7 linked regions of the Oryctolagus cuniculus genome follow. The protein of the gene in region 7 purifies or fractionates together with the protein of the main gene of each other region. This does not show direct contact. Links are inferred from orthologs where the notes say so. Each region holds a gene or a part of one and is shown on either strand. Other genes may lie near its edges. The genes, in order: KDM5B, RNF157, SATB1, BRMS1L, SMAD2, SP3 and HDAC1.

Region 1 (2,827 bases), on a different chromosome or scaffold from region 7:
TGTGTTCTTACCCAGGATGTGCTGGGAGTTTCCCTTTGAGAATAAAGGGGAAAGGCCGTGATTGAAGCACCGGGGAAGGGGGGAGGAGGTGTGAGTGTTTGCTGACAGGTCTTCGTTTGGTTCCCTCGGAGGGGACCTGCCTGTTCCCTGTGTTGTTGTCTTCAGTAAGGCCCAGAGACTCATGGATCTGCTCCACACAGAGAAGACGGCCTGCTCCCAGTGTCCTTGCCCTTCTGGAGTCAGTAAAACCAGGAAGATTAAAGGTTTTGTCTTAAGGGGAGACAGGTGGTGATGTGGCCGATTTTAAGGCACCAAGAGACTGCTTCTAGTTTGGGGAAATCCAGCTGTTCTTCCTTGTTGCCTGCCTTAGCCCAGGCTGCTCTGTGGGAACAGTGGTAACCGGTGTCTTCCTCCCCCAGGTGCCTCAGCCTCCCGGCACTGCGTCCCTTTCCTCGCCCGGTGACTGGGATAACAGGACCTCGTATTCACACTGTCCCTTCTCCACTGGACAGAGTTGTGTCCCTCTCCATGGTTTGTATTTTATTAGGATTATTTTGAGGGCTGGGTAGTAACAGGTCATCTTGTACTAGGTTTTTGTTACAGATGATGAGGTACCAAGAAAAGGCCTTTATCCTGAGGTTGGTGTTGTGGTGCTGCAGCTTAAACTGCCGCTTGCCACACCTGTGTACCACATCAGAGTTCCGCTTCAAGTTCTGGCAGCCCCACTCCCAATTCAGCTGCTTGCTAATGTGCGGGGGGGGGGGGGGGGGGGGGCAGTAGGTGACGGCCAGAGTCCTGGAGTCCCTGCCCCACTCGTGGGACATCCCAAAGGAGTTCCTGGCTCCTGGCTCCTGGCTCCTGGCTTTCGCCTGGTCCAAGCCAGGCTGTTGTAGCCATTTGGGAGTGTGAACCAGCTGATGGAAGACATCTGTGGTCTTCTCTCTCTCTCTTTCACCCTGCCTTGCAAATAAATAAGTACATATTTGAAAGTGCTGGGGGGTGGAGGAGGCTTTATCCTCATGTAGGGTATGAGTGTGCTGCATGGAGAGAGAGATCAGACTGAGAGACTTAGCAGTGCAAGCACACAGGAAGGTTCGTGCCCACTGCTTCCAGGGAGCCGGATCCACCCTTTGCCAGCTGATGATAGAACACCAGGCTGCCAAGTGGGGCTCCTGAGGGAGGCTTCATCACTTTGGAGATAATCTGTGTTTAAAACCTGCTTGTTTCCTGAGCGACTCCCATGAGTTGTGTCTGGCACTTCAGCCGGAGTCCGATTCCTGGACAGGCCGTCCCCGTGTGTGGCCGAGCGCCGTGGGCCACTCGGAGCCCGCGCGCCTGGGCCGCAGCTCGATCCTGTGCTTTGTTGGAAAGGCCACCAGGGCAGAGGCGTGGCCTGGGCTGCAGTGGGCAGTTAGTTAGCGGCAGTGCCTGGCTTGGGTTCCGCCCGGGACAGTGTGGCCGAGGCACAGTAAGTGAGCCTAACGGCCTGGGAACGCAGGTGAGGAGGGGGCGGTCTTTTGCTTTCCGGAGCACACGGGAGGCCCTTTGTTCTCACTGGCTTGGTCTGCTCCTCCACAGGCCTCAGTCCAGAAGTGAACGAACTGTTAATGGAAGCCCAGTTGCTGCAAGTGTCCCTTCCTGAAATTCAGGAACTTTACCAGACCTTACTCGCACAGCCAAGCCCCACGCAGCCGAGCGACCGGAGCTCCCCGGCGCGGCCCGGCAGTGAGAAGGTGGGTGTCGGCGGGCCCCTCTCTTTTCCCTGTCCCAGAAGAGCATCCAGCCTGTGTTCCTCCCGGCCGCCGGGGTGGAAGGTGCTGGAGGTGTCAGTTTGGGCTCCGAGCTGGGTTTGGGTCCTGTTTGAAGCCACCGAGTGACAGGGTGGTGGGTTGGTCTGTACCTCGGGGTGCTTCTCGTGGCTCCCCACGGTGCTAGTGGGACAAGAGGCTGACAAGGCGGTGCAAGCCGAGCAGGCCTTCCGTGCCCAAGAGTCACTTAACAACCACTCTCCACTCCGAGGATGTCCTGTTGGGGTGCCGACTGCTCTACCGAACGCCCTGTGGCAGCGTAGTAAGCTTCCTGCTGCCCGTCCCTCCCGGGGCTGGCACTTGTCAGGCCCCTGAGAACGTGGTGAGGGTGGAAAGCCGCCAGGCGGATCCAAGCCGCATGAGGAAAGGCGATCACTAGCCAGAGCCCCGTGGGCCGCTGTGTGGTGTCATCCAGTGCCTCTGCTGCCATGAGGGTTGGGGGTGTCTCCCCAAGTGGGACCGCGGCCGTGTGGCGCCTCAGCAGCCCGCAGGGTGCAGGACGGCTCAGGCGCTGGTCGGTCACTGTCGGCCTTGGCGGGCACCCGTGCGTCCCCGGTGCCGGCTGGCAGCTGTCTGGGGAGAAGGAAGCGAGGCCGCCTCACCCCGCTTGTCCTGTGGGACTTGGGGTGGGTGCAGGGTCGCGTGTGGTTGACCTTGGCCTGTCTCCCACCCAGAAGGACTGCTGCCGGGGCAAGCGCGACGCAGGCAGCAGTGTGGAGAGGAAGCTCAAGAGACGCCTGGACAGAGACGGCCTCGCCGGCGAGCGGTGGGACCGAGTGAAAAAAACGCGGACACCCAGGAAGAAGAAAATCAAACTGAGCCACCCCAAGGACACGAGTGATCTCAAGTTAGAGAGGGAGCGTGGCTACGAGTCGGCCCGTTCTGCCGAAAGCCACTCGCTGCCCTCGGACGCCTCCTACTCGGAGCAGGAGGACTCCGAGGACGAGGACGCCCTGTGCCCGGCCGCCAGCTGCCTGCAGCCGGAAGGAGACGAGGTCAGTGCGGTGCGCGCCGCGGAG
Region 2 (3,807 bases), on a different chromosome or scaffold from region 7:
GGAGAGGCACCGTCAGGTCTAAGCCACACTCCAGAAGTCAGGGCACTTCAGACAGTCCAGGGAAAGGTGGAACTCAAACACCATTTATTTTGGTGCAAAAAATTTGAAATCCATGTAGATTTTCATAATGCGGATTTTCCACAAACTTTTAAAAAAAAGTTACCATTTGGGGCCGGCGCTGTGGCACAGTGGGTTAAAATCCCAGCCTGCAGCGCCAGCATCCCATATGGGCGCTGGTTTGAGTCCTGGCTGCTCCACTTCCCATCCAGCTCTCTGCTGTGGCCTGAGAAAGCAATGGAAGATGGCCCAAGTCCCTGGGCCCCTGTACCCACATGGGAGACCCAGAAGAAGATCCTGGCTCTGGGCTTCAGATCGGCGCAGCCCCGGCCGTTGTGGCCAACTGGGCAATGAACCATCAGATGGAGGACTTTCTCTCTCTCTCTCTCTCTCTCTCTCTCTCTCTCTTCTCTGCCTCACCTCTCTGTATAACTCTGACTTTCAGATAAATAAAAAAGGTTACCATTTTATTTATTCAAAAGGCAGAGCAACAGGGAGATGGAGACAGAGAGGGAAGGAGACATCTTGTGTCCGCTGGTCACTCCCAGACGCCGTGACAGCGGGGACTGGGCAGGCTGATCTCCCCCCGGGCCTTGAGGAGGGCGGCAGAGAGCAAGAGCTGCCGCCTTCACTGTTGCCTCCCAGCGTACCCGGCGGAAGCAGAGTGGGGCTTGAACCTGGGCATGCGGGCAGCTGAACTGCTGAGCCAAATGCCTGCCCCTCCGTGGACTTCCTCAAGGTTCCTTCTGTGTGCTCGGAATGAGCAGTCAGGAAGCAAGGCCCGGGTCCTTCCCACACTGCACCCTGATCCTGCTGCCACGCACAGGGCTCCTGGAGGCGGCGGGGCAGGGGTGGGGGCAGAGAGCAGGTGGGACCCGTGCCCCTCAGTTCTGGGTGTGCCCAGTGCCGGAGGGACACCCTTGGCACATTTGTGGTCTAAATGTTCACCGATGACCCACAAGGTCCAGTCTGGCACGCCAAGTTCCCTCTTGAACTCACTCCACACGGATCAGGCTGGGGCCAGCGCCCTGCTAAGGGGACAGTCCACGGCCAGAGTGTGGCTCGCTGTGCTCTGCCCACACGCTTCACTGACCCGGGAAGCTCCAGTGCCGGCCCCCTGCCGCTGCTGGACCCCCAGCCAGCCTCAGCGGCCCCGTCCTGCTGTCTGCGGCCGCTCACCTCTGCGTCCTGCTCTCCCGCTGGGAGGCCGGCGAAGTTGCTCTCCGGAGACTCTGCTGGCGTCCCCTGCAAAAGAGCACCAAAGGCCAGGCCACGGTTACCAGAGGCGCGGAGTGCAGAGCCACCGCGGGGCCCAGCAAGTCCGCCGACGCCTGAGGGTCTGATCCCAGGCCAGGCCGGCCCCTCGGGACTCCTCTGGAGCCCTCTGGGGCTCTGTGGGCAGCCCCGGCAGATGCCTTCTTGAGCCACTCTGGACACTCATGCAAAGCCCAGGGAAGCCAGGCCGAGTGGGGCCGTCCTCCCTTACCTCTGCTTGCTCTGACTGGGCCCTGCTGGCAGCCCGGGGGGACGGGAGAGCCTCTCCCTCCTCTTCGGTGCCGGGGGCGATGTAGGAGCCGGACATGGAGGAGACCGTGTCGGTGCTGATCTGGGAGGACGCCATGGACATGACAGACTGGGCCAGGCTGCTGCTGGCGGGGTCTTGGGAGAAGGAGGTGGTGTCAGGCCAAGCCCCCGCCAGCTCCGGCAGTGCAGTGCAGGGAGCTGAGCCGCCCTCCCCAGACAAGACTGAACGATTCCTGAGATCTGGAACTCAACCTCAGGGCCCAGGGATTTGCTTTCCCCTGTCACAGCTAAAGGAAATCTTCCGGGGGCAGGAGAGGGACCAACAGCCCAGGAGAGGGACTAAGAGCACGCTTCTCCCCAGCTCCCAGGAGGAGAGCAGGCCCCCCGCCCGCCCCCTCCAGTGGGGCCTGCTCATCAGACAGCCGCGCGCCCAGAGGCGGTGCCAGGGCAGGACGTGCAGCTGCCCCCGCCCCCTCCTGTACCTTCGGGGGAGGAGATGGTGGAAGAGAGCGGCGTCCCTGTGCAAGACGACTGGTCGATGGCTCCCGATGACGACAACGTGAGGTTCTCACTTTCGGGGGTCACACCACATTCCTGGGGCTGCGGGGGACACAGCACACGTCAGCAACAAGACACGGGGAGGGACAGGGTTCCCCGTGGTCAGGCACCACGTGCCAGGCGTCTCTGTGGCCGGCCGGGGCCCGCATGGCTGCCTCCGGGGAGGAGCGAGCCTCACTCAGCACCTCCGGCTCGGGGCACAGCATCTGCTGGGGCCTCACAAAGACCGCAGCTCAGGTGACGCAGGTCACCCAGCAGCTGGGACACGGTGGGGGGACGCCCCAGGTTTCCCCAGCATCACCAACAGCTTCCACAGGGGCCTCTCTGGCTGTGGGCAGGTCTGTGTGGGCATCCGGTGAGTTCCGGCTCAATCCATCCAGAACAGTCGGGCCCTGCCCCCACCCCGGCCCTGCGCCTCTTCCCCGGCTGTCCCCGGCTCCGTCCCAGGAGGCTGCATGGCTGTGCTGGCTCTGCCCCCTGCCCCCCCCCCCCCCCCCCCCGCCTTGGCCCAGCGCAGGCACTTCCCTCGCCCTTTCTGGGGTCCCAGCCTGCACACCTGGCAGGTGAGCGCGCCCTGCAGCGCCGGCCCACGCCATCCTCTCCATCTGCATGCTTCTCTCACGGCTAAAACATTTCAAGGTTCGGCCCAAGCGCTGCTCCTTGGCAACGTCTGCTCTGACTCCTCCCACTTCGTGTCACCGGCTGCACTTCTGCTGCACACTTTTGGGGTCTCTCAGTTAAATCCAATGATTCACTCATGCGGTCACCTGACCAATACTGAGCCGTAGCAATGGGCCACACACGGTGCTGTCCCAGCTAGAGCTGAGCTCCTGAGGCCTGGGCCACCGAGCAAAGTCTGTGTGTGCCCTGCCAGAGCAGGAGGACAGCAAACTTCTGTCCAGTCGAGTCCACGGGGACCACAGGGTAGAACGGGCCAGCCCTCCGCCATCGACCACGCTGGCCTCCCTGCACACCCCAGGGTCTTGCATTGCTGTTCCTGTGTCCCAGATCCCCAGGACACTTCCTGTGCTGGACGTCCTTCGTGTCTATTCCCACCCGACCAGCCAGCGTGCAAGTGCCGTGGGCAGAGTGCGGCGCTCCCGCTACCTGCTCAGCACGGCGGCCGTGCCTACCAAGTGGTACGTGCAGCTACCGGGCCTTTGCCACTATTGGCAAGTGCTGGATGAAGGCATGGGAGTGGACAGAGCCCGAGAGGCAGGCAGGCAGGCGGAGGACGGCGCCTGGAGGCCAGCGCCCAGGCGAGGGGAAGGGTGCACTCACCTCTCGCAGCCGCTGGGCCGAGGGTCTCTGCGAGAGCGGCGTCTCCGACTCGCTGCAGGAGCGCTCGTCCTCCTCTTCGTGCAGCACCGAGGAGCTCTGGGAGACGGACCTGTCCGTGCACAGGGGACACAGCGGCGGCCAATTCCCACCTGAGGCAGGGCCCCGCTGGGCTCTCCTCACTCAGACTTCCCGGGACGCGGGCCCTTGGAAGGAACTGAGGGAAAAACCTGAATCCTGGGGTGAGGCCAGGAAGGGACCGTGGCCCCGTGTGGGGTCAGCAACGCCAGGCTCTCCTTTGGCCCCTTGGGTGACTTGCTAAGGCCTGAGCTCGGGAGCAATGACCCACGTCTTCATGGGCCCAGTCGAATACCCTCCCCCCTGCCGCAG
Region 3 (4,574 bases), on a different chromosome or scaffold from region 7:
GAGTGCTTTAGAGAGTCCCTGCTGTATATCCATGTTGTGTTTAGCTTAATAGTGTTTGTAACCAAAAGATTTTTACAATAATGAGGAACAGGTGCCTGTCACCTGACCTTTTAGGCCTAATTTACAATCCACAACCTGTTACATTAAAAAAAAAGAAAAGAAAAGAAAAGAGCTGAAATTCTCCTCTAGATATCTCAATCTTTGCTAATTTAATGTACTGGAGTTCCTAACCATCACTCAGCATATCCTATCATAGTCAACCACAGGTTCATATGGCTGGCAACAGACTTCTTTGCAGCAATAAACCAAATAATCATTTTGTTGCTGTTCTTGTTTAAGATGCTAGGAGACAAAAGAACTGGTTTTCTAGATTATCAACCAAAGAATATATTAATTTATTACAACAACTGAACAAAAGGCATTCCTTTTGAATACTTTTACATACAAAGAACTATTATTTATTACATATTTCAACTTGTGGGAAAGTGAGGAATGCATTGATTCTGAAAATAACTATTCAGACTTCTGGAAGTTCTTTAAGTCTTATCTATTTCTTCCCTCTCCCACCCCCACAGCACACACATTTTAAGGAGTTTGCACTTTAGGAGGGAAGCCCCTATTCTTTTTTTTATTCATCATCTGTATTTATTATTCTTCAGAAGGGAATACAAAATTGAGTATTGATTTTACTTCTCTTGTATTATCCTGTTACATGTAGCTATATTCAAATTTAACAATGCTTTGGATTTTATAGCTACTGCTTACATATTATGTACTACATATGACTGAACAACTCTACATTTAAAATACTGTTTCCATTAGAAAAAATATGAAGTAATAAGTGTCAAATGGTGATGAAGAATAAACATTTGGTATATTTATAAAGTGCATAGCTATTTAAAATGTGCACAAGTAGGATACATATTTTGCTACAGTTACATTTTACATGACATGCACATTGTCTAAAGTGTATTTAATAATGAGCTTAACCAAGTTAATTAAAGTATTTACGTCTGGTGATTGTGTTAAACACTTGGTGAGGTAGTGAAAGATACAGCCAGTTACTTCTGCTAACTAAAGTTGAAATTATGCACTTATTATAACCTTTCCTAACAATGTGAGAAAAACAGAGTAAATATATTAAATTTGTTTCACAACAGATGCTTAGGTTGTTAATATTTAAGATGCCTATTCATGCTATTCCTGTCTGCACATTTGTCAAAAATGTAAGCTTGAATGCTAATGTTTGCCAGCAGACTGGAGCAGCCAGTATATGAATGTACTACTGTTCCACTAAAATAATACGCAATAGAAATAAAGGACGGCTGCTAAACCATCACACTAATACCACGTAGGGGACTGCAGGTTTTCAAAGCAAATACTTGCAACCTTGGCTTTCTCCAGAGTTAAAGTGCGGGGCCTATTTATTTATTTATCTAGCAGCTACATTTGAATATAGAATAAACCTCACATTCCTGACATCTCGGAAAAATCCACCTTAGATAGGGTGTCGACGTCAGTTAAGTTTGAACGGGACGAGTTACTCTGTCCGCAGCACAAACACTGCAGATATCAGGGGCTGCTAAGGACAAAACCCGCTCTTGACTTACTCTCACCCCCCTCCTCTGTCCTCTGGGGAACCTCAGGTCCCGGGCCTCCAAGGATGCAGGCGTGGAAGCCCAGTCAGTCCGGAAAGAAAGGTTCCCTCCCTGCCAGCATCAGATCTTTCTGTCGTCCCTGCTTTTGTTTTTTTAAACCACTACGTGGAGTTCCAGTCTTAGAGCATTTGCCAGGAAACCCCGGGCTGTCTTGGAGAAAGTTCTCCGAGGACGGGCGCAGGGGTCAAAGTGGCCAACCGGAGCACTCTGCGACAGGACCCCGTGGCTGACGCTCGGAAGGGAGATGTGCGACGCCCCGGTGGAGGCCGGAGCCAGAACCTCCAACCCGAGTGCCACGCACTTCGGCCCTCTCCGTCTTCTAGGGTCACCTCGGGAGGGTCCTGCTCAGCGTCCCCCCTCCCGCGCCCAGCTCCCCGCCTCCCTCCCCCCCTCCCCGCAGCCACGCGCCCCTCCCCGGGCTGGCCACCTGCCTGCTTCTTCCCTCTCCTCGTGGTTTGCCAAGCCCCGGAGTCTCGGCAGGGGAGAGCACCTGGAGGAGGCCGCCGCGCTCAGGTCCTGACCGCAGGAGGGGACCTCGTGGCTGCACCTGTGACGTCCCGATGCCCGCTCCGAGGGCAGCACGCGCCCTGCCTCCTAACCTGCATCCACGCCGCAGCCCCTCCGGGACCGGCCTCGCCGCAGCCAAGCCCGCGAGGGCTCGAGGCGCGGAGTGCTGCAGCTTTCCAACTCCCGGCCCCGACGCGAGCGCCCAGGCGCCCGAGCGGCTCCCAGGATGGAGAAGTTGCCACAAACTTCCCAGGCCCCTCGCCTCCGCCGCTCGCGGCCAGCCGCGCCAGCGGGCGCAGAGGAGGCGGGGATGGACCGGCCAGGGATGCTGCACGGGCCGGCGGGCCGGCGGGGGCACATTTCCTCTCCCCAGCCCGCCCAGTCCGGGGCGCGCGGAGAGCCTGCCCCTTTCCCCGTCCGCGTCCTCTGGTCTCCTCCGTGCCCGGTTTCTCTTCTGGCAGGGGCTGGACCGATGACCTGAAGGGAGTTTGCCGGGCAGGTGTGTGCGCGTGTCCACACCTCGGGAGAGGGCGAACGGCGGCGGCGGCCAGTGCCCAGCCCGCCGCTCTCCCTCCCGGGAAGGCGCACCCCTCCGGGGGCTCGCGAGCCCCCGGGCCCCGGCGGCCGCCCGCGAGCGCTGAGCCGAGCCGCGGGGCACGGGGCGCGGGGCGCGGGGGTGGGTGTTGCAGAGAAGTTTGGGTCGATCCCGGAAAAAGAGGCAGGCACGGCCGTGAAAGAGCAGGAGCAGCGGGGAAAAGAGGCAAAGGAACAGAACTCACTCAGGCATGGGTGCTGGGGGCGGCGGTGGCGTCGAGTGCGGCCGAGAGCAGGCACGGCTCCGGGCGGGCGCGCCCGCGTCCGACTCCGAGGCGGCGGCTCTGCCTCCCCAGCCGCCGCCGCCGCCGAGCTGCGGCTGCCGCGGAAGTTAATCGCAACTTGACTTCAAGTTGCCTTCTTTTCCCCCTCCGAAGTGGGCGTTTAAAGGGTAGAGCGAGACGAGGAGCGAGGAGCGAGCGAGCGCGCGGGGCCGAGGGAAGGAAGAGCAGGGGGGGGAGGGAGGAGATGTTAACGGGGGAGGGGGAGGGGGAGGGGGCGGCGGGGGCGGGCGGGGGAAGGGGCCGGCGGGAGCCGCGCTCGGCTGGGCGGTCGCCGCGCCCGCAGTCTGCAGGCGCAGCGCCGCGGCCGGGCGCCCCCGCGGGAGGCCACAGCCACCCGGGCGCGCATCCAGCCGCCGCGCCTCGGCCGGCTCGCTGCGCCCGGGGGCTCGGCGGACCCCGCGTCGCCGCTTCGGAGCTGGCGCGGCGCGGGCGGCCCGGCGGGGCGGCCGGCCGGGGCCCGGCCCGCCTCCCCAGCACCCGCCCCGGTTTCTCCCCCTGGCGGCGGGAGCCTCCGCGGCCGCTGGCAGCCCTGGGCGCACGGGAGCCCGAGCTGAGCCGAGCCCGAGCCGCCGCCGCCGCTGCCGCCGCCGCGCGCGCCGCTCCCGGGCCCCCTCCCAGCGCGCCGGCCGGGGTGGGGGCGGGGGCTGGAGGGCCCGGGGTGGGCGAGGGGCACGCGCCGGGGTTAGCGGCGAAGAACGGACCCTGGGCCGCTAGGGGTAAGTGTGGGCGCTCGGGGGTGCGCGGCACGATTCCCGACGCCCGCCACCCCTGCCCCCTCACCTCTCCGGGCCCCACCACGCGCACCCCTCCTCTGCCGCCTGCGGCTTCCTCTTGTTGTTCGTTGTTTGGCTGGGCTTTTGGGGAGGGTACTGAGAGGGGGTGTCAGCGGTGTGGGTGCCGGTGGAGGAGGAAGTCAGGTGCGAGGCCCCGATGCGCCCCCCTCCCAGCCTGCGTGGGGTGCATCGCTCCCCACTAGGGGCATGTGGGCCAATTTTTTTTTTTTCCCGTCAGTGTTCGGTCGAGATCTTTCCTAGAGGGTCGCTTTCCCTCTCAGCCTGGCCCGTCCGTCTCTCTTCATCCCACCCCCGTCCCACTCAGCACCCCCACCCCCATCTTGGAGGGCTGCACCCCAACTGAGCGGCGCTTGGTGGTAGAACAGAGGGGTTCGCTTGCCGACCCCAGCGGTGTGCCCCAGCCCATTTGTTTCAATATTCCTCCTTATGTCAGCGGCTGCACTTTTGAGCCCACTGGAATGAGAACGCCTAAGCTGAGGTTCGAGTCCCCCCAAAAGCTGGGGGCAAAGAGGGAGGAAGAGATGAGGATTTCCTGGACAGGGGGCTAAGGAGAGGAGAGGAGAAGGAACCTTTCGAGAGCGGGGCGGAAACTCCACAGACCTCTGCTCCACCAGGGTGCGGGTGCCTGGAGGCTCCAGTCCCCAGGCTAAGGATAAACTGGAACTCCATCAACTTTTCCCTCCTTGCCCTGCCATTCCTGCCCCCAGCTGTAAGGCAGCTAACAGGTCTTTTGTGCG
Region 4 (3,807 bases), on a different chromosome or scaffold from region 7:
AATACATTTTTAAAGTCTAAGATCATATGAAATACACAGAATAACAACTTCTCCTGGAGGTGTTATCAATACTCGAAATAATCCTCTCTCAACTAAGAAGTTTATAACAAATGGAAAAATGTGAGGCCAGTGCTGTGGTGTAGTAAGTGAAGTCACCATCTGTGATGCCGGCATCCCATTTGGGCTCCAATTCAAGTCCCAGCTGCTCCACTTTCAGCAGCAGAAGATGGTCCCTGCACCCATGTGGGAGACTAAATGAAGCTCCTGGCTTCTGGCTTTAGTCTGGCCCAGCCCAGCCATTGTAGCCATCTGGGGAATGAACCAGCGTATGGAAGACTCTCTCTCTCTCTCTCTCTCTTTCTCTCTCTCTCTCTCTCTCAGTAACTCTGCCTTTCAAATAAATAAATATATCTTTAAAATAAATAAATAAATGTTTACTTTTGTTCATTCAACAAACATTGAGTGTCTTCCATGAGCCAGGACCAGGCTAAGGATTAGGCACAAAATGGTGATATTATTTGGGAGCAAAATAAAAAAATGTTTTTCTGTAATTCTTGTATAAATTATTATAAAAACTGCTGACATGTCCCTAATTCTTGAAGTATCACTACAGATTGCTGCTATCTGTAATACTACCAATTATCTTAGAGAAAATGTTGCAAAAGCAAAGAATATTTAACAATTATCATGCTTTGATGTATTAGTGAAAAATCTATACTCCTAAAAAGCAGACTATAAAAATGCACTTGTGCTTCACTCTTCTTTAATCATACCTTCCTGATTGTTGTCCAGTCTTCAAGAATATCAAGATCTTGTAGCATATAAACTATATATGGACGTTGAAAAGTCAAGGTCAATTCAGCAGTAAAGATATAACACTTTGAATTATATTTCCAACATTCAATTTTTCAGAGAATTGAAAAACGGTTCAGGAATATAATCCTTTGGTATTCTGAATTCTGACTCCCAATTATTTTACATATCCAAATAAGTACTGACATACATAGTCTAGTGCTTCTGATGCCACAATCATATTCCTTCAATTCTATGAGAACATTGATAACTTAAGGTTGAGGGGAAAAGACAGAGGTTTTTGGGGCTGGCGCCGTGGCTCACTTGGTTAATCCTCTGCCTGCGGCACCGGCATCCCATATGGGCACCAGGTTCTAGTCCCAGTTGCCCCTCTTCCAGTCCAGCTCTCTGCTGTGGCCCAGGAAGGCAGTGGAGGAAGGCCCAGGTGCCTGGGCCCCTGCACCCGCATGGGAGACCACGAGGAAGCACCTGGCTCCTGGCTTCAGATCGGCGCAGCACGCCAGCCGTGGCAGCCATTTGGGGGTGAACCAACAAAAGGAAGACCTTTCTCTCTGACTCTCTCTCTCTCTCTCTCTCTCTCTGTCTAACTCTGCCTGTCAAATAAAAATAAATAAATGTTTGGTTTTTTTTTTTTTTAAAAAGACAGAGGTTTTTAAGATACAGAGGCAAAGGGAGGGTTCCATAAGGATGCATATAGTAGTTTAATTTAAAGACAATCAGGGGGCTGGCACTGTGGCACAGTGGGTTAAGGTACCACCTGTAGTGCCAGCATCCCGTGTGGACACGACTACAAGTCCCAGCTGCTCCACTTCCAATCCAGCTCCCTGCTAATGTGTCTGGGGAAAACAGCAGAAGAGGTCCCAAGTGTTTGGGCCCCTACCACCCACATGGGGGAGAAGAAGCTCCTGGCTCCTGGCTTCAGACTGGCCCAGCTTTGGCTGTTGTGGCCATTTGGGGAGTGAACCAGCAGATGGGGAGATCTCTGTCTCTGCCTCTCTCTTTGTAAACTCTGCCTTTCAAATAAAAAAAAGTACAAATGAGAATTAAACCGTCATGCAGTATACTACATGCTACATAGAGATATAGATACTCTTTCTTTCTTTCTTTTTTTGAGAGAAAAAAAGAGAGAGCTGCCATCTGCTGGTTCTCTTCCCCCAAACATCTGTGACAACCAGGCCTGGGCCAGAGACTCAATCCAGAAATCCCACGTGGGTGGCAGGAATCCAGCCACTTGAGCCATCCCCCTGCTGCCTCTCAGGGTTCCCACTGGCAGGAAGCTGGAGTCGGCAGCAGAGCTGGATATCAAACCCAGGCACTCCAGCATATGCAACAGACATCTTAACTACTAGGCTAGGAAGCCTACGAATTTTCAAACTTGAAATCATGAATAAATTTCTTCTCTTCCCCCACCATTCTGAATGTAAACTATATCTTCTGCCTTCAATCCATTTTATAAGTCATCTTCCACTTTTTTTTCTTAAAAAAAAAAAAAAAAAAAAAAAAAGGTGGGCCTGGTGCTGTGGCACAGTGTGTAAAGCCACCGCCTGCAGTGCCAGATCCCATGTGGGTGCTGGTTCAAGTTCTGGCTGCTCCACTTCCAATCCAGCTCTCTGCTATGGCCTGGGAAAGCAGTGGAAGATGGCCCAAGTCCTTGGGCCCCTGCACCCGCATGGGAGACCTGGAGGAAGCTCCTGGCTCCTGGCTCCTGGCTTCAGACTGGTACAGCTCCAGTCATTGCTGCCATTTTGGGAGTGAACCAGTGGATGGATGACCTCTCTCTCTGCCTCACCTCTCTTTGTGTAACTCTTTCAAATAACTAAATAAATCTTACATAAAAAAAGGGTTTACTCATTAAAAACAAAATCACTGTGTACTAATAAAATTTCCCAAAATATGCACACTGTAGAAATGTACAGCAAGGAGGAAGAAAACCCCCGAAAACCCAGAGAAGGATATCTGAAACCACCACGGGCTTCTTCTTGTCGGGACTGAAAGGATCCTTCCTCTTCTTTCTCGACTGAAGCTCATCATTCCACAGCTCTGGCAAGGAAGTAAAAATTAAAGATTAGATTTCTGCTGACCAAAGGAGGGAAAATGACAGTCATCTCACAGTGGCCACCTATTCAAGTATACACTGTACACAACTCCACTGGCAGCCATGTGTATACACATGGGACTGTGTACCGCTCCAGGAGCAGCTACATTCAGTACTTACAAATTTTCCTCTGCCTTTTTTAAAGCAAAACTCGGTCTAGCACTTACGGATAATTGATGAGCACATGTCAGGTGCTTCGTAAAATATATATCACATGCATCGTCTCACCTAATCCTCAACTTTACCTTGAAGGCAGACATTCTTACTACTTCTTCTTGCTGACAAGGACACCAGCTTAGCAAAGTTCAGCAGCTGTCCACAGTCACCCAGTGAACCGGCAAGGGAACACCGGCATTAGAGCTCAGCTTATGTGACTCACCATGGCCACTCAACAGCAGAGGAATAAAATTTATAACAGATAAAATGAAAAGTATGCAAGAACTGCAGGTAACCTAGTCAGCCTTCTCCCTAACAAAGAAAACTTGTCCACAATATCCCTGGAAAAAGTAAATTTCACACTGCAGTGGCCTAATTTATGTATTAAGTTTTCCTTCTTCTGAGACAAAAATCTGCATCCCTGTAACTTTTCTCCATGTGCCTAGTTTGTCTGATGCCACCACAGTGAAAAGGTTTGCACTCCTTCTTCCACATGAGCCTCCCAGGGCTGAGCGGAACAATCTTCTACAGCTGTCTTCTCATGCTGTGCTCAGAGAGAGACCCCTGCCACACTTCTGTTTTGTCCCCCGTCATGAGTTCCGTGTCTTTTGGCATTCTGAAGTGTGAGCTCAGGTCAAGGTAACTAACAATCACAATCACATCAAATTCTTCAGCAGCCTCTCCTTTTCCCCTACTATGCGGACAATTCCTTTAGCAGCATTAACAGTGGAAGACCAAGATAA
Region 5 (3,807 bases), on a different chromosome or scaffold from region 7:
CAATTAACCCTACTATCTGAACACACTCATTTTATGATGGCAAAAACTTAACAAACTTATGTTATTGTAACACACATTACTGAAGAACTTTTCAGTGTCAAGGGTGCCAAATAATAATTTGAAGGCAAGAGTTTGCAGATTGAAGAATCAAAGAAAGCCTGTGTACTTAACCATGACAGCAGCTGAACTGCCAGAGGACTGGGTTCTTATACGTAAGTTCTTTGCACAAGGAACATAAAACATACCTATATGTCTTCTTGTCATTTCTACTGTGGCGTTTCGGTTCACATTGGACAGTAACCCTAAGCAGAACCTCTCTGAGTTTGATGGATCTGTAAAGCCATCTACTGTGAGGGAAGGCTGTGAGGCATGGAAGGTCTCTCCAACCCTCTGGTTCAATTCATAATATGCTATTGAACACCAAAAGGCCGGTTCTGAATAAGTAACTGGCTGCAAATCTAGGAGAAATGAAGCATAAAAAAAAGTATGTGAACAATTCAAGTCATAAAGAGATGGAATCTCATCATCTCACATGCCCTGTGCCAGCACACACTGGCAACACCTAAGAGACCGAAGTAACATGTGTATCCGTTTCCACAGCTCCTACCAGATTTTCCAATTTTCAAATCTCCCTCATCTCACAACGTCACATTATGTTGGATTATTCGTTTTACCAGTAGTTTCAGCTTAGTTCTTACTCAAATACAAAACTACCAGAGCCCAACTCTGCAACTTGTTGTACTTAGCGCATTTCTAAAAAGCATAATAAAGGTAAATCTACTAGAATAAAGCTGGAGCAAAGATTAATGAGTTGGAAGTCACAAGAAAAAACATTGTCTTAAAGGAAGACAAAAAACGTGAGATATTTTTTGACAGTTCTCTATTTTAACATGAGACTCTCAGTGAGTTACCAAATTAGAACCAAAAAGTACTAAAACACAAAGAGTATGCAAGTATCAATAGAACAAGGGCTCAAGAGTACTCATTTCATCAGAAAAGTGGGAGCACATGTGCTGAACCTTGGCACTCTTGACTAAGTGTATCATAAATAATAATATTATGGAAGAAAAAAAACCCTGACAACTTTGAAGAACTTTGAATGGCTAGAAACTGAAGGGAAACTATAAATATAAAAGAGCACGTAAAATAAATCACAGGAACGCATAAGTATATACACACATATATGTGTATACAGCTCTAAAACACATACATATTTTATATGTATATACATATATTTATATATACCTCTTATAGTAGTAACTGATAAGATATACTGTAAAACAAACCCATAGATACATATAATAGGCTATAAAATTTTTGATGAATAAAGTATAATTTCAATGAATATAAAGATCATTTATTACATTCATATGTACCAATAGAGACTTTAGTGATACTGAGACACAATAATATCTATTTTGTCTTTTAAAATATTTATTAATTTATTTGTAAGTCAGAGTTAGAGCGAGGTATACCACCTGCTGGTTCATTCCCCAAGTGGTTGTACCAGGCAGGTTTGAACCATGCAGAAGCCAGGAGCTTCATCCAAGTCTCCCACAGGGGTGCAAGAGCCCAAACACTTGGGCCATCTTCCATTGGCTTTTCCCAGGCCATCAGAAGGTAACTGGACTGGAAGCAGAGCAGCTGGGACATGAACCAGCACGCATATGGGATGCCAACATAGCAGATGGCAGCTTGATCCGCCATGCCACAACACTGGCCCCCAGTAATCTCTATTTTAAAAAAGCACTAATGTAGGGACAGGTGTGTGGCCTAGCAGTTAAGCCGTTGGTTAAGATGGCCATGTCCCACATCACAGTGTCTGGGTATAATTACAGCTGGGGTTCCTGCTCTGGCTTCCTATTAATGGGGACCCTGTGAGACAGCAATGATGGCTTAGGTAACTGGGTCCCTGCCACCATGTGGGAGACTTGGCTTCAGTTCCTAGATCTCAATTTTGATTTGGCCAAGCTCCAGCCATTATAAGCATTAAGATAGTCAAACAGCCAACTGCAGCTTTCTTTCTCTGTCTCTCAAATAGATTCATTTTTAAAAAATTAAAAGCACTAATTTAAACCATTTGCATGATTACCTGATTATTCCTTGGTACTCCTTTCTTGCTTAGAAAATAGTTTTATGCAGGTGATACAGTGTATGAATGGCAGGGGAAAAGCTATTTGCAACTTACCCAAGCTGTGATTAACAGGGGAAAGAGTAGTAGGAGACAGTTCTGCTGGAGAGCCTAAAACAAAAGGATTCAATTCTTTAATGCTCAAGTATTTCTAGAACTTCTATATTACTTAATACAACTGGTTATACTGGTTGTAATTATCACCAATAATACACAACTTAAATGCCAAGAATTCAAAACATACTGCTGCTTTAATTTGGAGAGCTCCTATACATAAAAGGTACAAAAGATTATAAACAGTCTGGCTTCTAGCCACCCAGCTCCTCTTTCCAAAGCCATCTAACGTTGGAAGTGCTTATGTATGCTCCAGAAACACCGTAAGCACACATACTTGTAATGTGCCTCTATCAGAGATCGCTCATGTTGCTGTGTTTCCTATTCACCATCTACACCTATCAGCCAGCTGTGTGGCATCATACTATGAACCCATATTGATGGTCAGTCAGGCTATTTCAATCTACTGCTTCAAAACCCAAGATGGGAACAATTCATCTTGCACATTTTGCATACTTCCAATCACACTGAAGGACAGTCTTATCAGGGAAACTGTGAGATCAGATTTGTGCATTTTGTAATTCTGATAGATATCTGGCAGAATTACCACTCAGTAACAACACAAATGGAGAGGGATGCCCTTGGTAAGAGGTGTTGTGTCTTAATTTGCATTTCTCTTAAAAATGACATTTTGCTTCCTTCTGTGATGAGTCTGTTCTGCTCATTTCTGTATTGTGCTGTTGATCACACTGTCCTTACTGACTTGTAAAGGCTCTTTTAGGATTAAGGATATTAGTCCTTTCACGGATGGATGCTTGTATTTGGTCATCAGTTTTGCAACTCAATTCATTAAAAACAAATGTTACATGACTTAATTTGTGAATCATTTTGGGGTTTGTCACATGTTGATAAAAGTGGTGGTGATGGTTCCTTCTGGCTGAAAGACAACATTTCAAGTATTTTCTCAGTAAGCATGATACTGGCCTTAAGACTAAGAAGAAAAAAACATTACTTAAGATTTTTGTTCATGGCTAGTATCAAGCAACACTAGTCCGCAGATTTACATGAGTACTGTGTGTAAGACTCTGTGAACAAGGTCCGAACAATCTGGAAGCTTAATGTCTTTATGCTCTGGAACGGTTTAAAGAGTATAGTACCAGCATAATCAGTCAATAATTTCCTAGCATTTACTCCAAGACATTCTGTTTCTTCTATCCAAGTGATTTGTTGAGAATTTTATTTTCCTATAAAATTGATCTCTCCTTATATAGGTTAAATCTAATCAAGAAAATAAGGTGAGGTGAGGGAGGGGGAGAAATACACAAACTAGGAAGATGAACAAACACACACAACGGAAAAAGAGGAAAAAACAAACACCGATAGACTACTTGGCTCAATTCTATGCAACTATATTTAAAAGACAGTTTTCACAAAATGTTAAATAATCATAATTACAAACATGAGATACATTTTGTTTCTGGTCCTCATTCACTACACATTTAGGGGAAGTTATCTAAAAGAGGATGACCCAAAGCTTTAAAGGTACCCCCAGGCACAGATGCAGAGTAAGAGGTGAGCCTAAGCTGCGCTCCCTCTCACCACACACCACGATAACCAGGGCG
Region 6 (4,266 bases), on a different chromosome or scaffold from region 7:
GCCAATTTGTTTTGGTTGTTTGGGAATGGAGGTATATAGTTCATTACACATGCTCACCAACCAGTCAAGTAAGTTTGTTTAATAACAGTGCTTCTCACAAATGTATGCTTTTACATTTTAATCTGTTTACCAAAGCAGGATTAAGAAGTTAAAGCTACTCAGGTCCCCTAGAGTATAATCTGAAGCACTAAAATGACATTTACCAATAATGTAGCTTAACAGTAGCTTAACATTAGGTCAACTTTTAACGACCAGACATTAAGTATTTAATGCAGACTATAGCAAATATCAAACTTAGAATTCCGTCTACAGTTACCAATTGAAAACATCACCAAATCAATTCCTATTATCCATGTCAAAAAAGGGCTCCAATTATTTTAGTAAGTGAACACACGAACATGTTAAACTAAAGCAACAGTAAAGTTCACAACTTAACTGTCTAAAATCTGTTAACAGATAACTGTGAATTAAGCCCTAATATAACACTGCCAGCTCCTCCCCCCAGCCCAGACACTGTAAAAACACTACAAAAAGAATACCACCACATCCTACAGCAACCACAATAAAATGAAAATAACCGTTTTGCCAAGCAAATCCAACTGTAAGTAGCACGCATGTAAATACAATTCCTGACTTTTGTTTCTGAAGCTGACACTCATTCAATTTCAAAAGCTAAAGAACCACCTAAGTAAGTTGTCTAATTTCAGCGGTCGCTAAGTGTTCCACACAACACCACCTAGGAAAGATGACCGGAAATTTAAGTAGCAGCCTGCAAAAACTCAAATCCAACAATTTTGAGCGGTCACTAAAAAAGCACTCAAGGAGTGCTCATTCCTGCATACAAAAGGCTACCTCGGGGGAACGAACTTCACTTTTTCTTTCTTACGATTTCAGTCAGTCAGACCTAGCAACCTCCAGCAGAAAAAGCTCCAGGTTCCAGAATTCCAAGAACCAGAGGCACTGCCGCCGTGGCCGATACTATCTATGGCCGATAGGCTGTGCTTGAAAATGCACTACCGCTCGGCGAAGGAGTTTGCAGCGCTGATATGAATTGCTCAAACATCCATTTTGGAGTCCTCCACCCCCGCCCTCGCAGACTTCATTTTGTGGCGAATTCTGAGCGAGGTGCCGCAGTGACAATGTGCAGAGAGCCAGGGCCGGCTTCGGGGCCAGACCGGGATGCGGAGGGCAGGACGGGGCGCGGGGCCGCGCGGGCGCGGGGCAGGCCTCGGGGCGGGCGCCCGCAGGCCGGGGATGGCGGGCGCCGGGGCCTCGGCGGGGGCGGGCCGCGCGCGCGGGACTTACCGCTCCGGCGGCGGCGGCGGCGGCGGCGGCGGCGGGGGCCCCGGCAGCGGCGGCCGCCTCGTCCTCGTCGTCGCCCGGCGATGGCGGCCCTATCTTGCTGCAGGTAGCGGCCAGCAGAGCGAGCGGTGACGGCTGAGTGTCCTACCCCCGATGGGCGGGTTCAGAGAGGGAGACAGGGGAGGGGGGTGGCGGTTAGGGCCGGGCCGCCGCTCGCACAGGAAGTGCGGCTCGGTCCTCCGGGCCGGCCCGGCCAGCGCCAGCCCGCGCTCGCCGCCGCCGCCGCCACCACCACCACCGCCGCCGCTGCCGCCGCCGCCGCCGCCTCCTCCCGCCGCTCGCCCCGGGCTGGCCGCCCCGTCGCACGCTCGCGGGCCCCGTCGGCGGGCGGGCTGCGCGCCGGGCCTCCACCTGGCGCCCGGAACCCACCCCGGGAGGGCGCGCACCCTCGCACACTCACACACGCACAAAAAGGCGGCGGGCGGGCGGGCTGGCGGCGGGCGGGGGAGCGCGGGCGGGGTCGGAGCGTTGGCGCCTCGGGCGGGCAGCTCCCGGGGCGGGGGGAGGGGAGGGGAGAGGCGCGGAGGGAGGGGAGAGGCGAGGGGAGGAGAAAGCGGCGCGAGGGGGGAGCCGGGCCGGGCTCAGCCGCTCCTCACCTGGGCCGCCGCCGCCGCCGCCGCCACCGCGCTGTTTCCGTGCTGCTGCTGCTGCTGCTGCTGCTGCTGCTGCTGCTGCTGCAGATACTCGCCGTGGCCGCCGCCGCTGCCGCCGCCGCCGCTGTCCACGTCCAAGGCAGCCATTTCCTCTTGTTTCACGGGCTTTTCGGGAGCTGCAGGCACAGCGCGGGGGGGGGGGGAGGTGGGGGTGGGGAGGAAGGCGGGTGGAGGAGAGGGAGGGGGCCCGCGGGCCGCGGCGAAATTACTCCGAGAGCCCCGACCGAGGCCCCTTCCCCTCCCCCACCCGCCCCCCGGCGGCGGCGCGGCGGCGGCTCCCTCCTCCCCTCCTGCTGCTGCCCCCGCCCGCCGCTGCCAGTAACCCTCCTCCTCCTCCTCTTTCCCTCCTCCTCCTCCTCCCCGCGCTGCCCCTGCCCCCTCTCCTCTCCTCTCCTCCCCTTTCCCTTCGCGCCGCTCGCTCTCACTCGCGCTCGCTCCTCTCGCACCGTCAGTCACTCACACACGCCCGCCCGCCGCCCGCGCCCGCACACAGGGGGATGCGCTCCCGGCGGCCCGGGCCGCCCGCCCCGGGGCCCGGCGGGGAGACGGCGCTGCTGGGGGGCTTGAGGGCTGGACGGTGGCTGGCGGGGAGGGCAGGCAGGCGGAGGGGAGTGCGGCTTTCTGCCTCTCACAGACACTCGGCGGCACACCACGGGGCCGGGAGCCGGCGGCGGCCCCCGGGCTGGCTGCGGTCAGCGGCGGCGGCGGCGGCGGCAGCAGCAGGGGTTGCTCTCTCTCGGCTTTACGTACCGGTCATAGTGTGTTTAGGGCACCTCAGGCGGGGCTCCCCGCCGCCTTACACATGGTGAGGAGCGAAGGCGGCGGCGGCGGGAGAGGATGCGGGAAGCGGCGGCGGACACGGCCGGAGCGGTCCGGGGATTTTTTTTTCCTATTTTGATTGACTGTGCGGGAAACACAAAAGGTGGAGCCTCCAGCCCAAAAGGGGGGAAGAGGGTGACAGCCCGCCCGGAAGTCCCGCCCCTCTTCTCCGCGTTCATTCGCCACCACGCTCCCCGTCGGCCGTCCTCATTGGTCCGGACGCCCGTCCGTCGCTCGGCCAGGCGGCGCGCTTCCTGTTTGCCCCCCGGGTGGAAGAGGAGAGACAATGAGCGGCTGTGGCGGCGTAGCTTCCCGAGAGCGGCTACGGCTCGCCAGTTACCCCGCTGTGCCCGCCTCGCTCGCCGGTTGCCGCTGCCAGGCCCGAGACGCAGGCCTCTTCCGCCTCGCAGGCTCTCCGAGTAGGCCCGACCGAGCTGTAGGGCAGCCAGGCTGGGGAGGAAATCCGTCCCCGGTGGCTCCGGCTCCACTCGATGTTTTCTCCATCCCGGCGGCAGCCTCGGCTCGATCTCCCCAGGGCCTCGCGCTCCCGGAGCCGCCGCTTCCCTGCGCTGCCAGGAGGCCGCTGCCGCTGAGCCTCGGGGCTGCTGCTGCGGCCGCTGCTGCTACTGAGCAAACCAGACCCGCCCCACGAGCCCGGGGGGAGGGAGCTGGTATTGGGGGAGACACCCCCTCCGAAGCCGGAGGAGGATTTTCTCTCTCACACACTTTGAGCTGTCGTATTCACAGCCAGAGCCATCTCGTTCCCATCCCTCTCAGCCCCCCAGGTCTCCAACCGTCTCCCTTTTTCCCTTGCCCTGGAGGCAGCCGTTTAGAGCGAGAGAAAAATCAAGTGGAGAGCTTTCATGCTGGCCAGTGGCACCAGAAAAGGAACTTAGATGTGGCGTGTGTATGTGTTCAATGAGGCAAGAATCCTTGTTTAAAAAGAAAAAAAAAATTAGCCACTCATTGCACTACACATACATATATCATTCCCTGCTTTTTAATCCTCTCGGTACCAAGTCTGAAAGGTCCTGCCGGCCGTTGCCAACATTTTTTAAATAGTGAATCTCAGTGAAGTTTCTTGGTTTTTTTTTTTTTTTTCTTGGAACATTTCATGCTTTAGTTTTTAAAATCTTGTTTCACTTACTGGATTAGGCTAACATTCCTTCCATCTTTGGCATCGTTGATATCTTGCTGTCATCCTGGGCGAAAATGCTCAGGTTTTATGTGTGTGTTTTGCCAACTAAGAGACATCTCTGCCTATTACCTTTAGGTATAGTTGCCAAGAAAAAGGTTAAAGGCAGGGAGACTGTCCATAATACTTTTATTGTAACTCTGACTCCAAAATCAGTGTTCCAGTTAACGGTGATGATTGTATTTCATGTGATAAATGAAACTGCTGGAGGAGGAAGTTGAGAAGCCCAAACACTTT
Region 7 (3,807 bases):
TCCCTACACTTCCTCAAGCGTAGACATCAGTGTAAGGCAGCAAGAAACATGAAAAGCCAAGGAAGCCTACCACTGTTACATCCCGGGAGCTAACTCCAAAGAGACGGAGATCTAAAACAACGCGACTGCAAGCTCTCATTTCCCAACCGGCATTAGCAGGGCTGAGTCCCCTACACCAAGTTGCTGTTTGTAGCCCGCAGGGTGGATAGAGCCACTTACCGGCTTGAAAATGGCTTCATAGGACTCGTCGTCAATCCCATCTCGGAGCGGGTAGTTAACAGCATAATATTTGCCTTTGCCAGCCCCAATATCCTAATCGAGAAGGACATTAAAGTAAAACTGAAAGATGAAGCTGAGGAAGGCGTTCAAGGATGGGGGCTGGAAGGCTAAGGGAAGAGGCAGCGGTTCTGGGAGAGGCGGGCCAGGACAAAGCAGGGGCACTGAGTTAGTGCTGTTCTCACTGGCAAGTCCACATCCCGTCACTGAGCCTGCACGCAGGCCGAGAGCTGGTTATGGGGCCTGAGACTGCACACCCTACCCCACAGCACAAGACTTCTACCTTGGCATTGGGGTAGAGCTGGCTGGCAGCCAGGTCACAGAAATAACACCCACTCGCATCAACCTTTGTCTCCAGGGAGCTTTGCTGCTCATTCTTCAACCCCCTTTCTTTCCTCTCCAGGGAGATGTGGCAGGAAGCACAGAGGGAAGCTTCCAACTCACTTCCAAATAGCAAGTGCTCACTTATTCTAATGCTTGCCATGGCCAACAACTGCATTAGTGCCGCCTTTTCACCTCAGGGCAAAGGCAGCGCAAAGCGGCTCAGTTTGCTGTACTCATGCTAACAGAAGCAGGTAGTCTGATGAAGGAGCTTCCAAGGATTCTTATCCTGAGTTTCATGGATGGGCTCCATGATGACTGTTCTACAGCAGACACCACGTTTCATGCACTTTTCTAGGAAGAGTTCATAGCTTTCAGTCAGAGGGCCAAAGGGGAAAGTAACCTAAAAAGGCTCAGAAGCCTTGAGATGATCCACAAGAGTCCCAGTTCCTAGCACAAAACTCAAGCCTTGTGGGGCACAGGACCAGCACATAATGAAACCCAGCTGCGTCCATGAGGGAAGCCCAGTAATGGTAGGAGACCCTTTATGTCCCACTTTTCCTCTCCTCCAGAATTAGGGAGAGAGACCATGGGAGGCACTCCCGATGGGGGAAAGGTGTTCTGAATGGCAGAAGAGGCAGGAAGTGGTTTTTAGTGGCACAGGATAGGAAAGTTAGAGCTGGCAGCTGAGGGTGAGCTGGTTGGCCCCTAAAAAGAGTTCTCACCCGTAGGTCCCCAGTTCCTGGGAAGTACTCTCCATACTTATGAAAGGACACGGTCATGACCCGGTCTGTGGTATAGAAGGCCTCTTCCACGCCATCGCCGTGGTGAATATCAATGTCAATATACAGCACCCTCTGGTGATACCTAGGATCAGAAGGGGGTCAGGGGTCTGGGGGCTCTTTGGAGATGGGACGCGCCAAGGGCGCCAGGTCCCAGCTTACCGGGCTGGCTGCCTCCCTCAGGTATCTCTAAGCACCAGAGACGTGGAAACTGGCTGAAGGAAGGTGGAAGAGCGGCCGGGTGTCTCCAGAGGCCTGACCAAGCCGACCAAGTCCGTTCTTCCTACTCTATAGCCAGGGTCAACTCCAGCCACACAAGGACACTCTGAGGCAGGATCTGAGCAGCGCCTGCCCTGATCTTGCCGTGGGCTCAGATCAAACCAAGACCCCGTCAAGGAGATGATGGCCAGAGCCACCACACACATTCCAGCCAGCATACCGCTAGGAAAAGCAAACTAGGGGGCCAATCCCCGGGGAGGGAAGTGGGAACCTGGCCTAAGGTGCTCCTCCAAGAGACAAGGCCAGGCAGGCATACTTTAGCAGTTCCAGGATGGCCAAGACGATATCATTGACGTAACAGAAGCCAGATGCCTCGGACTTCTTTGCATGGTGCAGGCCCCCAGCCCAATTCACAGCGATGTCCGTCTGCTGCTTATTAAGTTTCACAGCACTTGCTGGGCGTGGGGAGAGAGGAACATAAGCCTGTTACTAAGTCACTCTCCCCTCCCCCCAAGAAGCCCAGGGAACCTAGGGAGAGGTAGGACCTGCCTATTCAATAAGCCAGGCCCCTCCCTCTCACCTATTCCAATAGAGAATAAACATGATACCAGCTGCTCTTAAAAAACTATTTTCCACAGACAAAAAATATTTTTTACCAAAAAGAAAAAATAAAACAAAACTATTTTCCAAACTGAGGATGGTAACCCACCTTAAAATTGACTTAGTGGGTCATGGCTGGCATGTGTATTTTTAAGTGAAACAGATTAGAATAAAAATATCAGAGTAACAGTAAAGGTAACTGCCCTTTTACAAAACGTTGGCTTTAGGATGAGAGAGTAAAAGTGTGTGTTTGTGTGTGTGTGTATGTTCACGTGCATGTGTGTGCCCACACATGGTATCCTGGATTACCTGTGTAAATTTATTTCTTATTACGGTTCATGGTCAAAAAATTTTGAAATGATACCAAAGATAGGGCTGACTCAAAGTACAAATGAGTACAAAACATGAGAAATATACACCCATGCATGCAAGTGCATTTTTGGCACTGTTAACTTTCAAAGAAATAAAAGCATGGAACAATCTAAATGGTCCAGTAAAAGGAGATAGATTATATCAACTACAGTAGGGCCATAACATGGAATAATCTATGGCCACTAGAAAACAGGCTGTGGAAGATTTCTACAGATAGAAAAATCCTAGGTTAAAAAAAAAATGCAGGCACAAAACTATTATTCATATACACACACACATACACCTCAAAAGTTCATGGGAATGGAAGTAAAAGACAAATTTATTTTGGTCCAAAAAGAATTTTTAAATCTATCCATATACCATGAGTCTTCAAAATGTTCAAGGAAAACACATATTACAAAAACCTATGCATACATTTCAAATTGTTTTCCACCAAAATAAACTTATATTTTAACTTCATTTTTCCACAAACTTCTTGAAGTACCCTCATATACATATTTTATGTCCAGATATATAAACATGAATAAAGAAAAGGCAAATAAACACCCAAGTAGTAACAAGGTCATCCATGGACAGTGTGACTGTGTGTGTGTCCCAAGCACTTCTTTTTTTCCAAGATGATACTGGTAGGGGGATACAATAATGATGATAGGAAAATAAATATTTGTTAAGAAAGGGTTTCAAGTAGTCCTAGCGGGAACCCAGAAGTTATAGGTGGAAGTGGGAGCTAAGCCTAGGCAGGGAATATTTCTGACCTCTGAAGGTAATTGCCACACTCCTTCCTAAGACACACAAGATGGCACTTCCATTTTTATAGCACTTTGGCAGTTCACAAATTGCTTTTATGTACAGCATCTTGACAACCCCAGAGGTCTGCAGGGAATTCCTATATATGAGATTTGCTAGTGGGAGAGGACAGCCAAGGACATCTGTCAGGACCATGCTGGACAATAAGCCTGGGCTGGGACTCAACCAGAAATACATTCTAGAGATCTAAGGACTATTTTACATGGTCACAGGTCAGCCCTACCACTATGGTGGCCTAAAAGGCAGACCTCGGGAGGACAGACCAGCACAACCCTTGGGAGGGGATATAGATTCCTTACCTACAGAGCCACCAGTAGACAACTGACAAAATTCAAACAGGCCATCAAATACTGGACAGTCCTCACCAACGTTGACTTGAAAGAAATAAGCAAAAGGTTAGTTTCCATAATCCCCTTCAGCTTTTGTTAAG

What was found.
Region 1: the proteins of HDAC1 (region 7) and KDM5B purify together in Homo sapiens (affinity purification with western blotting; 3 studies listed by BioGRID). This does not show direct contact. The link is inferred for Oryctolagus cuniculus from reciprocal best matches to the Homo sapiens genes HDAC1 and KDM5B.
Region 2: the proteins of HDAC1 (region 7) and RNF157 purify together in Homo sapiens (affinity purification with western blotting; 3 studies listed by BioGRID, with this or other methods). This does not show direct contact. The link is inferred for Oryctolagus cuniculus from reciprocal best matches to the Homo sapiens genes HDAC1 and RNF157.
Region 3: the proteins of HDAC1 (region 7) and SATB1 purify together in Homo sapiens (affinity purification with western blotting; 3 studies listed by BioGRID, with this or other methods). This does not show direct contact. The link is inferred for Oryctolagus cuniculus from reciprocal best matches to the Homo sapiens genes HDAC1 and SATB1.
Region 4: the proteins of HDAC1 (region 7) and BRMS1L purify together in Homo sapiens (affinity purification with mass spectrometry; 7 studies listed by BioGRID and IntAct, counting the BioPlex papers as one, with this or other methods). This does not show direct contact. The link is inferred for Oryctolagus cuniculus from reciprocal best matches to the Homo sapiens genes HDAC1 and BRMS1L.
Region 5: the proteins of HDAC1 (region 7) and SMAD2 purify together in Homo sapiens (affinity purification with western blotting; 5 studies listed by BioGRID, with this or other methods). This does not show direct contact. The link is inferred for Oryctolagus cuniculus from reciprocal best matches to the Homo sapiens genes HDAC1 and SMAD2.
Region 6: the proteins of HDAC1 (region 7) and SP3 purify together in Homo sapiens (affinity purification with western blotting; 6 studies listed by BioGRID). This does not show direct contact. The link is inferred for Oryctolagus cuniculus from reciprocal best matches to the Homo sapiens genes HDAC1 and SP3.

The regions. Positions count from the first base shown.
Region 1 is NC_091444.1:18,501,364-18,504,190, reverse strand, and holds part of KDM5B (lysine-specific demethylase 5B), read left to right. Parts: intron 1-419; coding exon 420-531; intron 532-1,578; coding exon 1,579-1,733; intron 1,734-2,482; coding exon 2,483-2,803; intron 2,804-2,827. UniProt on the Homo sapiens protein: Histone demethylase that demethylates 'Lys-4' of histone H3, thereby playing a central role in histone code. Does not demethylate histone H3 'Lys-9' or H3 'Lys-27'. Demethylates trimethylated, dimethylated and monomethylated H3 'Lys-4'.
Region 2 is NC_091448.1:4,554,844-4,558,650, reverse strand, and holds part of RNF157 (E3 ubiquitin ligase RNF157), read right to left. Parts: intron 3,530-3,807; coding exon 3,421-3,529; intron 2,182-3,420; coding exon 2,064-2,181; intron 1,717-2,063; coding exon 1,544-1,716; intron 1,303-1,543; coding exon 1,237-1,302; intron 1-1,236. UniProt on the Homo sapiens protein: E3 ubiquitin ligase that ubiquitinates APBB1 for its degradation by the proteasome and thus prevents apoptosis and promotes survival of neurons.
Region 3 is NC_091435.1:154,006,214-154,010,787, forward strand, and holds the start of SATB1 (DNA-binding protein SATB1), read right to left. Parts: upstream 3,084-4,574; 5' UTR 2,945-3,083; intron 1,806-2,944; exon of another isoform or gene 1-1,805. UniProt on the Homo sapiens protein: Crucial silencing factor contributing to the initiation of X inactivation mediated by Xist RNA that occurs during embryogenesis and in lymphoma.
Region 4 is NC_091443.1:39,740,656-39,744,462, forward strand, and holds part of BRMS1L (breast cancer metastasis-suppressor 1-like protein), read right to left. Parts: intron 2,854-3,807; coding exon 2,770-2,853; intron 839-2,769; coding exon 774-838; intron 1-773. UniProt on the Homo sapiens protein: Involved in the histone deacetylase (HDAC1)-dependent transcriptional repression activity. When overexpressed in lung cancer cell line that lacks p53/TP53 expression, inhibits cell growth.
Region 5 is NC_091441.1:29,856,584-29,860,390, reverse strand, and holds part of SMAD2 (mothers against decapentaplegic homolog 2), read right to left. Parts: intron 2,243-3,807; coding exon 2,189-2,242; intron 459-2,188; coding exon 246-458; intron 1-245. UniProt on the Homo sapiens protein: Receptor-regulated SMAD (R-SMAD) that is an intracellular signal transducer and transcriptional modulator activated by TGF-beta (transforming growth factor) and activin type 1 receptor kinases.
Region 6 is NC_091434.1:67,238,533-67,242,798, reverse strand, and holds the start of SP3 (transcription factor Sp3), read right to left. Parts: upstream 2,905-4,266; 5' UTR 2,773-2,904; coding exon 2,766-2,772; intron 2,132-2,765; coding exon 1,959-2,131; intron 1,447-1,958; coding exon 1,306-1,446; intron 1-1,305. UniProt on the Homo sapiens protein: Transcriptional factor that can act as an activator or repressor depending on isoform and/or post-translational modifications. Binds to GT and GC boxes promoter elements. Competes with SP1 for the GC-box promoters.
Region 7 is NC_091438.1:140,150,629-140,154,435, forward strand, and holds part of HDAC1 (histone deacetylase 1), read right to left. Parts: intron 3,752-3,807; coding exon 3,677-3,751; intron 2,054-3,676; coding exon 1,915-2,053; intron 1,465-1,914; coding exon 1,323-1,464; intron 313-1,322; coding exon 220-312; intron 1-219. UniProt on the Homo sapiens protein: Histone deacetylase that catalyzes the deacetylation of lysine residues on the N-terminal part of the core histones (H2A, H2B, H3 and H4).